Kluyveromyces lactis: one gene and its partner. The protein of the gene in region 2 purifies or fractionates together with the protein of the main gene of each other region. This does not show direct contact. Links are inferred from orthologs where the notes say so. Each region holds a gene or a part of one and is shown on either strand. Other genes may lie near its edges.

Evidence for each region.
Region 1: the proteins of MCM2 (region 2) and POB3 purify together in Saccharomyces cerevisiae (affinity purification with mass spectrometry; 3 studies listed by BioGRID, with this or other methods). This does not show direct contact. The link is inferred for Kluyveromyces lactis from reciprocal best matches to the Saccharomyces cerevisiae genes MCM2 and POB3.

The regions. Positions count from the first base shown.
Region 1 is NC_006038.1:443,272-449,375, forward strand, and holds POB3 (FACT complex subunit POB3), read left to right. Parts: upstream 1-2,860; coding exon 2,861-4,528; downstream 4,529-6,104. Other genes in the region: KLLA0_B04862g (BAR and SH3 domain-containing protein), read left to right, coding at 1-320; DAK1 (dihydroxyacetone kinase), read left to right, coding at 661-2,418. UniProt on the Saccharomyces cerevisiae protein: Component of the FACT complex, a general chromatin factor that acts to reorganize nucleosomes. The FACT complex is involved in multiple processes that require DNA as a template such as mRNA elongation, DNA replication and DNA repair.
Region 2 is NC_006042.1:1,165,487-1,171,215, reverse strand, and holds MCM2 (MCM DNA helicase complex subunit MCM2), read left to right. Parts: upstream 1-2,872; coding exon 2,873-5,506; downstream 5,507-5,729. Other genes in the region: KLLA0_F12628g (NAD-dependent succinate-semialdehyde dehydrogenase), read left to right, coding at 1-820; KLLA0_F12606g (uncharacterized protein), read right to left, coding at 1,057-2,136. UniProt on the Saccharomyces cerevisiae protein: Acts as a component of the MCM2-7 complex (MCM complex) which is the putative replicative helicase essential for 'once per cell cycle' DNA replication initiation and elongation in eukaryotic cells.

The sequences.
Region 1 (6,104 bases), on a different chromosome or scaffold from region 2:
AGGTGAAACATCTTGGCATTATAGATTACGAATTGTTCTACAAGAGGGTAAGTTTAGACGCTAAGAAACAGGTGAGCACTGAGCAAGATGATATAGCGACGTACAATGACCCATACCAAAAACATAGTCCCCAATATTGTAAAGCAATTGCAGATTTTGTCCCAACAGAAGAAGACTCTGAAAATAGTTTGTCTCTTCGAAAGGAAGATGTGATTAAGATCTACAGGAAGGAAGCCGAAGTCTGGTGGTACGGACAATCACTACGTACCAATAAAATCGGCTACTTTCCAGTACAATGCACTACAATGGAACATATTTGAGTAACCGGATATACCTTCATCCGGAAACCTCTACATTATCGTAAATTTGTTTCTACCTCAATAGCAAAATGTTTGTATTAGCACCGCATATCTATTAGAATTTAGTGTGTGATCATGTGACTGTGACGTTTGTTAAGTTTTAAGGGAATAAATAGATGGCATTTGATCAGTAGGTTCCTTTTGCACATTCCTGAAGTATATAAACAGACAGTTCGTGAATAGTTTATACAAATCCTCACCATCATTGAATTAGAGTGTAGTACCTGATAGGTAAGAAAGTGTTTTTCTGTGAATCATAAGAAGAATATCAAACTCCAAGATATTATAATCCGGTGTAAAAATGTCTGTCGAAATCAAATCCTTTGAACTTTCCGATCCATTAACTGCTAGCTTGAAAGGTTTTGCAGACACTAATCCCAATGTTGAGTTGATCTTGAAAGAGAAGATCATCTTCCGAAACACCGAAAAAGACAAGGTAGCTTTAATTTCTGGTGGCGGTTGCGGTCACGAGCCTACCCATGCTGGTTTTGTCGGTAAAGGATGTTTGAGTGCTGCTGTATGTGGTGATATCTTTGCATCTCCATCAACCAAACAGATCTTAAATGCTATTAAAATTGTTTCGAAGAACAGTAACGGAGTTCTATTAATTGTTAAGAACTATACGGGCGATGTATTACATTTCGGTTTGGCTGCTGAAAGGGCCAGAGCCCTTGGAATTAATTGCTCTGTTGCTGTTATTGGAGATGACGTTGCTGTTGGTCGTAACAAAGGTGGGTTAGTCGGTAGAAGAGCTCTAGCAGGAACTACCTTGGTTCATAAAATTGTCGGTGCATTTGCTGAGAAGTATTCAGGCAAGTATGGTCTCGATGGTGTCAGCAAGGTAGCTCAAGTCATCAATGAAAATCTAGTTACGATTGGCTCATCATTAGATCATTGTAAGGTACCAGGAAGACCATTTGAGACGGAATTAAATGAAAAGCAAATGGAAGTCGGTATGGGTATCCATAATGAACCAGGTGTTCAAGTCTTGGACAGCATTCCACCTTTGGAGCAGTTGATTGAGAAATATATGCTACCCAAGTTACTTGATTCAGAGGATGAAGACAGACATTTTGTATCTTTTGATAAAAAAGACGAGGTAGTTCTCCTTGTCAACAATTTAGGTGGTGTGTCTAACTTCATCTTAACTGCCATCGTTGATATCACGAAATCTTTTTTACAAAAGAATTATGACATTACTCCAGTTCAAAGTATTTGCGGAACTTTAATGACATCTTTCAATGGAAATGGATTCAGTATCACGTTGTTCAATGCGTCAAAGTCATCTGGAGCTATCAAGAAGGAGTTCAGCGAAGTAAAATCTGTGCTTGACTTATTAAACGACCATACAGAGGCGCCAGCATGGCCAATAAAAGATGTCGAAATGGGTAAATCTCCTACATATGACGAGGGTATTCTCGAGGATGTTATTGACGTTAAAAAGGCTGGAACATACGACTTCGAGAAATTATCGGAGCTGTTGAAGGCAGGTGCCGATCAATTGATTAAAAGTGAACCTCATATTACACATTTGGATAACCAAGTTGGTGACGGTGACTGTGGTTATACGTTAGTAGCTGGCGCTAAGGCAATCACTGAAAACTTGGATAAAATATCCTCCAAGTATTTGTCTCAGACCCTTGCAGAAATTTCTGATCATATTGAATCCGCAATGGGTGGTACATCCGGTGGTTTGTACTCTATATTCATTTCGGGCCTTTCAAAAGGAATTATTGAACAATGCGGAGAAAATGATGCGGTGGACAAAGAAGCCTTCGCCAAATCGCTAGAAGTTGCATACGAGACATTGTGTAAATATACTAGAGCTAGGCCAGGTGATTCTACTATGATCGATGCCTTGGAGCCATTCGTGAAAGAGTTTAGTTCAACTCAGGACTTCCATAAGGCCTTTTCCAAGGCGGAAGGAGGTGCAGAATCTACAGGAAACTTAGAAGCCAAGTTCGGCCGTGCATCTTACGTGGAAGACACTGAAGCAATTCCGGACCCAGGAGCTATCGGTTTGGTCGAATTCCTCAGGGGTGTTGATTCCAAATTGTAGATTCATTTTCAAATGAGCTGCCTCCTTTATTCTTTCCACCTAGTTATTATTTTATAACAAACTATATACAGCTTCCTACATTAACCAAATTTATGACCTAGCGGTAATTGCAGTATCATACATTGTTCCTCCGGCAACAGGGGGGTGGGCCTCGACCTGATAGTTCTTCGTGTGTAAAAACTGTCTCTTTTCCGTTCACTCCCCCATCTTACCTCTTGTCAACGTGACGCGAATTGGAAACTTTACTAGAAATGAAAATGAAAAATCGCCAAAGTGTTTAAGATGTTGTTAAAACATGAACAAATAAGAAGACATATGAAACCGTTAACGGTAGGCAGAGTTGTTAGCCCATAGTTTACGTTAGACAGGTCAGTATTACTGAAATCTAGTGATCTTCGTCTTGGATACCTACTTTTTATTTCTTATATTGGGATAGTGGAGAATGAGTACAGATTTCGATAGAATTTATTACAACCAATCCAAGCTCGGTGGACGTTTCCGTCTAGCTGAAGGAGGTCTTGGTTGGAAGGCATCCGCTACAGGTGGGTCAGCCTCTACTCAAAATAATGAACCTTTGCTATTGGCTGCAGATGAGGTTTCTTCCGTTCAATGGAGTAGAGGATGTAGAGGCTACGAATTGAAAATTAGTACTAAGAATAAGGGATTGATTCAAATGGATGGGTTCCAACAAGAGGATTTCAACCTATTGAAGAATGACTTCCAACGTAGATTCAACATGCAATTAGAGCACAGGGAACATTCTTTACGTGGTTGGAATTGGGGTAAATTGGACTTAGCTAGAAACGAAATGGTTTTTTCATTGAACGGTAAGCCAACTTTTGAAATCCCTTACACGCACATCAATAACACTAATTTAACAGCAAAAAATGAGATTGCATTAGAATTTGACACCCAAAATGAGGCATATAATCCTGCAGGTGATGAACTTGTTGAAATGAGGTTATATGTTCCAGGCACAGTTGAAGAAAATGAAGATCAAGATCAAATCATGGTAAAGGACGAAGCAGAAGCAGAAGACGGTGTTAAGTCGGAGGTTAAGACGGAAGAGGGTAGTGAAGAACCAGACGTTCAAGAAGAGAAGACTTTAGCAGAATATTTCTACGAAGAATTGAGATCTAAGGCAGATATCGGTGAAATTTCTGGTGATGCCATCATTTCTTTCCAGGATCTGTTCTTCACTACGCCAAGAGGCCGTTACGACATTGATATCTACAAAAACTCTATCAGACTTAGAGGTAAGACTTATGAGTACAAGTTACAACATCGTCAAATAAACAGAATCTTCTCTTTGCCAAAAGCTGACGACATCCATTACTTGATGGTTTTATCGATTGATCCACCAATCCGTCAAGGTCAGACATCCTACCCATTCTTGGTGTTACAATTCCAGAAGGACGAGGAAACAGAAGTCCAACTAAATGTGGAAGATGATGAGTTCGAAAAGCTTTACAAGGATAAACTAAAGAAACAATACGATGCTAAAACTCACATTGTACTAAGTCATGTCTTAAAGGGTTTGACAGGAAGAAGAGTCATTGTTCCTGGTGAATACAAGTCTAAGTATGACCAATGCGCGGTATCCTGTTCATACAAAGTCAATGAAGGCCACTTATACCCATTGGACAATGCGTTTTTGTTCTTGACGAAACCAACCCTATATATACCCTTCCAAGATATTGCTGCGGTCAATATTTCAAGAGCTGGTCAGACATCTACATCAGCCAGAACATTCGATTTGGAAGTTGTTATGCGTGCCAATAGAGGTACTACTACTTTTGCTAATATTTCTAAAGAGGAACAACAACTTCTAGAGACATTCTTGAGGTCCAAAAACTTGAGGGTAAAGAACGAAGATAAGGAAGCAGAACAGAGACTGCAGACTGCCTTCGGCTCAGACAGCGATGATGATGATGTAGATATTAACATGGGTTCTGCAGGTGAGGATGAAGAATCTGTAGATGAAGATTTCCATGCGTCCGACGAAGATGACGATGTCGCTGAAGAATTTGATTCAGAAGCATCCGCCTCCGATTCAGAAGGTGAAACCTCAAAGTCTGAAAGACCTTCCAAGAAAGCCAAGTTGGAATGAAAAACTCATATATCATGTATTAGTACAAATAAATAAATAAAAAACTATATACACTCCTCGCGGTATTTGTCGAATAATGTGTCTTTCTTTTGTTTGATTGACTAGTTCTTTAATTTTTAGTACATCTAAATGGCTTGACAAAAGAATAAGGGTCCCATCCAGAGAACTAAACTTCAAAGGGTTGAGAGAAGGATAATTTTGCTAAGCCCGTAAAAGTATCGACTGCTTTTTTCATGCTTCAATCATTTAATGGTTCTGTAAGAGTTATTCTATGACTTCTGGTGAAAGATCCTTAAATCAAGAACTAGAATGATGAAATGAATGCACAAAGAAATTTTGATCCAAGATAACTCGCTTCATACATTCGAGGTATATTAGATATTAGTATGATAGCTACAGACGGTACCTTAACTATAGAATATATCATAGAGATTCCTGGAGTTGACGAATTGTCCGGGAATAGTTTCTTTTTCACTATAAGAAAAGATTCATAGCTAAACGACAATGAAGGGTCGGAATTGACTTTGAACTCAGCATGAATGACTCAGGATGACATGACAAATATAGATAAATACATGGCAAGCGAGTTTGGTAAAACGTGTGTTGAAGACAAAATTCCATTGGTTTAAATTATTCCTGATAGTTGTCACATGCTGCTCTTTCGACTTTGACCAGCGAAGAAAACATCTATACCAGTCATGATGCTAACCAGTGAGATACTTCTCTGAACATCAAAGGTGAGCAGGGATCTCGTTGTATGAAATGACCGAACTTCAACTGTTGCATTTGTATTGAATAGAGAAAAGGTTCTAAAATGGTAAAACTTCCCTGTACTAAGCCTTGTTGTGTGGAGAAAGCCTGAAGGAATTTTATCATACTATGATTGATGAGGAAAGAATTGAAAATGTATGATGTCCTGAATGCTCATATAATCCTATCGACCTTAGTGCTTTTGATAAATTTGATAGTTTGGAAGATGCATTGTTTGCTCCCGCTCTTCCCTACGGTTTCTTCGAAGGATTATATTAACTGATGCTGACATTATTAGCTACGGAACGTTGCACAAGCCAGGTGCCTTGTTGAAATATACCAGTACAATCCTTATTCATGTGATATATATTCTAGGTGAGATGCTCGGTGTGTTAATGATACGTTGGATGAAACATTGTACGCTGTAAGGCGTATGATATAGTGTTTTGTTCTAATTGTTTGCACGCATGGCACGGCAAACACAACCAATGTGGAATACCAAAGGCGATAACGGTAGCATTTTTGGAAGAATATGCAGATGAAACTGTGCCTCTAGAACAAAAAAGCGGCTCGAAATAATGAAATTCTGCTGAAGAACAATGGAATTTGAAGTAGATGCGTATTTAGCGAAACAAATGTTGGAATTAGTCCTGCCGGAAAAGGACTTGAATATGCAGTAATGTCCGAAATATGAAACAATCGTATAAAAATTGGAAGGATGTAACAAGATGAGTTGTTATGTCTGCATGATGCCGTTTCGTTTCTTCTGTGTTATTGCCTTGAACCCGGATGATTCGTAATCTCATTTTGTGGATCGAGATTCCGA
Region 2 (5,729 bases):
TGAAATAGGTGAATACGTTTGCGAACATGAATTGGTCAAGAAGATCACTTTCACTGGCTCAACTAAAATCGGTCAATTGTTAATGGGACAATCAAGCAAGGGAAAGAATATCAAGAAATTCTCTATGGAATTGGGGGGTAATGCACCATATATCGTCTTCAAGGACGCTGACTTAGACCGTGCCTTAGATGGAATAATCGGATGTAAATTCAGACAATCCGGACAAACTTGTATCTGTGCAAACAGAATCTTTGTGCATGAAGATCTTTACGATGAATTCAGTAAGAGGTTGGTTGATAAGATCGACAAAACCTTTAAATTAGGCGATGGGTTCCAAGACGGTGTCACTCACGGTCCATTGATCCATGACAAATCCATTGACAAAGTCGCATCTTTAGTTCAGGATGCAAAAACGAAGGGAGCAGACGTCTTGATAGGTGGCTCAAGAGCTAGTTCTTTAGGTCCATTATTCTACCAACCAACAGTACTTGGTAATGTAACCGAGTCCATGGATATATTTTATGAAGAAATCTTTGGACCTGTTGCTCCATTAATTAAGTTTAAGGATGTGGATGAAGTCATCAAACGTGCTAATGACACGGATGTCGGTTTAGCAGGCTACTTCTACAGTCAAAATATTAGCACCATTTTTGATGCCGCAGAGAAACTAAATGTTGGTATGGTTGGTGTCAACACTGGAGAAATCAGTGAACCTGCAGTACCTTTCGGTGGTGTTAAGAATTCAGGTTTAGGTAAAGAAGGTTCTAAGTATGGTATCGATGATTACACTGAATTGAAGGCCATCATTGTGGCACCATAGACAATTCACTTTGAAAAACTCTTATATCTACTAAAATGAAGTCTATTCGGATATGCAAGTTATCTCATATGTTATATAAAACTAACACCTTTTTGAATACATACATGTGTAAATGAAAAGTTTAGAGTAGAAGCTCGAGATATCCCTCTTATTGACAATAAATTCTTCTAAATGTAGCAATGTATATAACATATCCACATTTAAAGTTTATGATGATTAAATGTCGTAACAAGAGTTCATTTTTTCTGAGTATCAAAAAACTGCTTGATATCAGATTCACTAACGACCTTATCGTTTTCCGCAAATGGTCGTAGGAAATCTGTTAGTTTTGATTTTATTTGCTGGAAAGCGACTAGACTGGCTAGAGTTTGCTGATGAGACAAGTTTTGAGCTAGGGCCGTTTCTCCCATTTCTACAAGAGATCCTTGCTCTTGTTCCTCCGGGGGTTCATAAACTTTCTCTTCACAAGTGAGGAATGGTGCTGTGTGCATGAAAAAGCTTTTCAAGGAGTCACCTTCTGGAAGTGAATCCCTTAATCGTTTAAATTCTTCCCTATATCCTTCTTTCAAGAATAATGAATATGAACCCGAAGAGTTTTCCATTTCTTCTAGCCCTCTTTTCTTGGTACTTTCCAATGTCATTCCCTCGGAGTTCTGATCCGATACCAGATCTCTCCTGTACACTTTATGTGCTATGATTTTATCACACGCTTCGTGTGATAAAAGCTTTTCAAATATCGAGCTGTACTTGTCAATACAAACCCATGAGATAAATCCTTCGAAACTTGACAGTTCAGGGAATCCTGGTAGCTTTCTGTCTTCTGTAACCGGGTCTGGGTTTTCTTCTATCCCTAGAATGCAGTGATCATGAAACCAGTCCTCATTGCACTCCAAGCCAAGGACGCATTGTAACATCGTTGTCGTTGTATTCGGGTCATACTCTCTATGGCAAGAGCAAAATAACCCTTTGAAATTCTGGCCATACCTGTTACTCATGTCTGGTATATCTGGTGTAGTATTCTTTCTTATATTACAAGGTGTGAACTTCTCACCGTGTTCAAACTGCCTTTCTGTACCGCAATCGCAACTGAAATTCCTCTTATCGAAAAGTTCCACCAAGTCACAGGTACTGTGACACTGAATAGAGCATGAATAGCACACTCCTATACTGTTGCAAGTACGACATGCGAATATTGGCTGTCGAATTGGGCCCATGGAATAAGTGCAATGGCTTGGATCATATGGCATCAGTTTATTTGCTTCATCTTCCAGTTCCTCCTGTCGCTTCACATATTCTTTAACGCTAATCTCGCTCATTCCCTAACACCAACAAGACTATCTTTAAGTGCCAGAACTCACCTTGTAGTAAGAAATGCGTGAATGAAGGTACCCTTTTTGCCTTTAACTTGACGTGTTCCTTATGTTTAAATTTGGGGATATTTCATTGATAGTAAGAGATTTTCCATGTCGATGAATCAATATTCCGTATGATTTTACGTCAATATCGACACATTTGGACGGTTACCGGATGGAAATCGATCTAATATGGGGCACAAAATGCATCACATCATTCCAGAGCTTCAACATCCATACTTTACCTGCAATTGTGTTGCTTCATCGTGTGATTGGAGCTATAAGTACGGTTTTTAAGCGTATGATCCCATGTGATTATCACGTGATCCACGCATCATAATAAAGAAATTATACTAATCAAATGTAGATTGCAAAGCTAAAAGAGGTGAGAACTACCGATTGGTGTTATTGGAATATTGCCATTGCTGTATTATTAGCCCCAACGCTCTACAATGGTCAGATCGTTGCAAAACACCATTTTAGGAAATGTTATTGTTTCAATTAAAGATCATTTTCGTACATTCAACTGAAGAAAAAAGCCGGAAAAAACGTTAAGATCTTAAGATAGCTTTAGATCCCAATGGTCTGAAACAAAGTGTAACAAGTAGGTCATCGAAGCATCAGGAAGACAATTGTGTGATCGGATTTGGTAGTGCGATAATTGAAGATTATTAATTGCTGTTTTTGAAAGTGTTTCAAGATGTCTGATAATGATGAAATAAATAACGGAAGGAGGAGAAGAAGAAGAGCTGATGATGATGAGGATGAGGATGATTCTTTGTCTACACAACCCCGTGAAGGTGGCGCTAACATCCCTAGTTCTCCACAGTTTGAAGACCCGCTTGGATCTCCAGATGAGATAGATTTTGAGAATCCAGATAACGATGGAGATGAAGCTGTCAATGTTCAAGAGGATCTTGAAGATGTGGAAGAAAGAATGAATGAAGTCGATTTGATGGGTGATGATATGTACCGTGATTACGCTTCAAACACAGAACATGATACGTATGAAAGAAGAGGAGTCGACGACCAGGAGCAGCAAGAGTTGTCGCTCGCTGAGCGTAGAAGAATCGATGCACAATTGAACGAGAGAGATCGTTTGGTGCATAGGAACACAGCATACCTTGATGATGATGATGGCGAAGGAGCTGGTGCGCATAATTTGGATGCTATGGGTCTTCCAGTACAGAGGAGACGTAGAAGACGTCAATACGAAGAAGCAGATGATGATTTGTTATCAGATATGGATATAGATCCGTTGGCAGATGAGCTCTCGTTGGAATCTTTGGCAGATGTGAAGGCATCAAGTTATTCTGAATGGATCACTCAACCGAATGTATCACGTACTATTGCCAGAGAGTTGAAATCGTTTTTGCTTGAATATACTGATGAGTCAGGTAAATCCGTTTACGGTGCTCGTATCAGAACTCTCGGTGAAATGAACTCTGAATCCTTGGAAGTTAATTATAGACATTTGGTAGAATCCAAGGCCATTCTAGCCCTATTTTTAGCCAAATCTCCCGAAGAAATGTTGAAAATATTTGATACAGTGGCTATGGAAGCTACACAACTACACTATCCCGATTATACTCGTATTCACTCGGAAATTCACGTAAGAATCTCGGATTTCCCTAGTATATTGAACTTACGTGCTTTACGTGAAACTCATTTGAATTCTTTAGTTAGAGTTAGTGGTGTCGTGACAAGAAGAACTGGTGTCTTCCCACAACTTAAATACGTTAAATTCAACTGTTTGAAATGTGGTGCCACACTTGGGCCTTACTATCAGGATTCAAATGAAGAAATTAAAATCTCGTTCTGCACAAATTGTAGATCTAAGGGTCCCTTCAGAATTAATATGGAAAAAACTCTGTACCGTAATTACCAAAGAATCACCATCCAAGAATCACCAGGGTCTGTTCCAGCCGGTAGATTACCACGTCACAGAGAAGTCATTTTGTTGTGGGACTTGGTTGATATCGCAAAACCTGGTGAAGAAGTCGAAGTGACAGGAATCTATAAGAACACATATGACGGTAATTTGAATGCAAAGAACGGGTTCCCCGTTTTCGCAACAGTACTGGAAGCCAATTCAGTGAAGAGAAGAGAAGGCGGATTGCATGATGGTGATGAACACGAAGGGCTGGATGCCTTCAGTTGGACAGAAGACGAAGAGCGTGAATTCAGAAAGATGTCTCGTGACAGAGGAATCATCGATAAAATCATTTCATCAATGGCTCCATCTATTTATGGGCACAGGGATATCAAGACAGCAATTGCATGTTCTTTATTCGGAGGTGTTCCTAAAAACATTAACGGTAAGCATTCCATCCGTGGTGACATAAACATTCTACTTCTCGGTGATCCAGGTACTGCCAAGTCCCAAATTTTGAAATACGTGGAAAAAACTGCCAACAGAGCTGTCTTCGCTACAGGTCAAGGTGCTTCTGCAGTCGGTTTGACAGCTTCTGTCAGGAAGGACCAAATAACTAAAGAGTGGACTCTTGAAGGTGGTGCGTTAGTGCTTGCGGATAAGGGTGTTTGTTTGATTGATGAATTCGATAAGATGAACGATCAGGATCGTACTTCTATTCACGAAGCAATGGAACAGCAAAGTATATCCATCTCTAAGGCAGGTATCGTTACCACGTTACAAGCCAGATGCTCTATTTTAGCTGCCGCCAACCCGATCGGTGGTCGTTACAACTCTACTCTTCCGTTATCACAAAATGTCAATTTGACTGAACCAATTTTGTCAAGATTCGATATCCTCTGCGTGGTAAGAGATTTGGTTGATGAAGAAAGTGATAATCGGCTAGCATCTTTCGTCGTTGATTCACATATCAGGTCTCATCCAGACAAGGATCTGGATGATTTTGATGATGGTAACGTTCCAACGGAAAATCCTAATGGGGAGGGTGATGAAGAAACTCCGTTATCTGCCAAACAAAGACGCTTGCAGAACCTTCGTAAAAGAGAAGAAGAAATTTCGCCCATATCTCAGCATATGCTAATGAAGTATATTCATTACGCAAGAACTAAAGTTTACCCTAAGTTACATCAAATGGATATGGACAAAGTGAGTAGGGTTTATGCTGATTTGAGACGAGAGAGTGTCACTACTGGTTCATTCCCGATCACCGTTCGTCATTTGGAATCTATCTTAAGAATTGCTGAAGCCTTCGCGAAAATGAGATTATCAGAATTCGTTTCCTCATGGGATTTAGACAGAGCAATTAAAGTAACAGTGGACAGTTTTGTGGGTGCACAAAAGATTAGTGTACGTCGCCAACTACAAAGATCTTTCGCTGTTTATACTATGGGAACAATGTGAAATCAAGATTCAACATTTCCAACGGAAGAAAACAATTCTATAAGCTCAGAACAACAATATACCGTTCCCATTTTTTCCATTATAGATGCAGTACTACATCGCTTATATTAGCATAATATACAAATTTGTAACTAATAGACTTAAATAATGATTACTTCAACCTTCAAAGGAATACCGCTTTTATAATTTCATGTAGAAGTCTATAACTGATAATGTGGAGTGA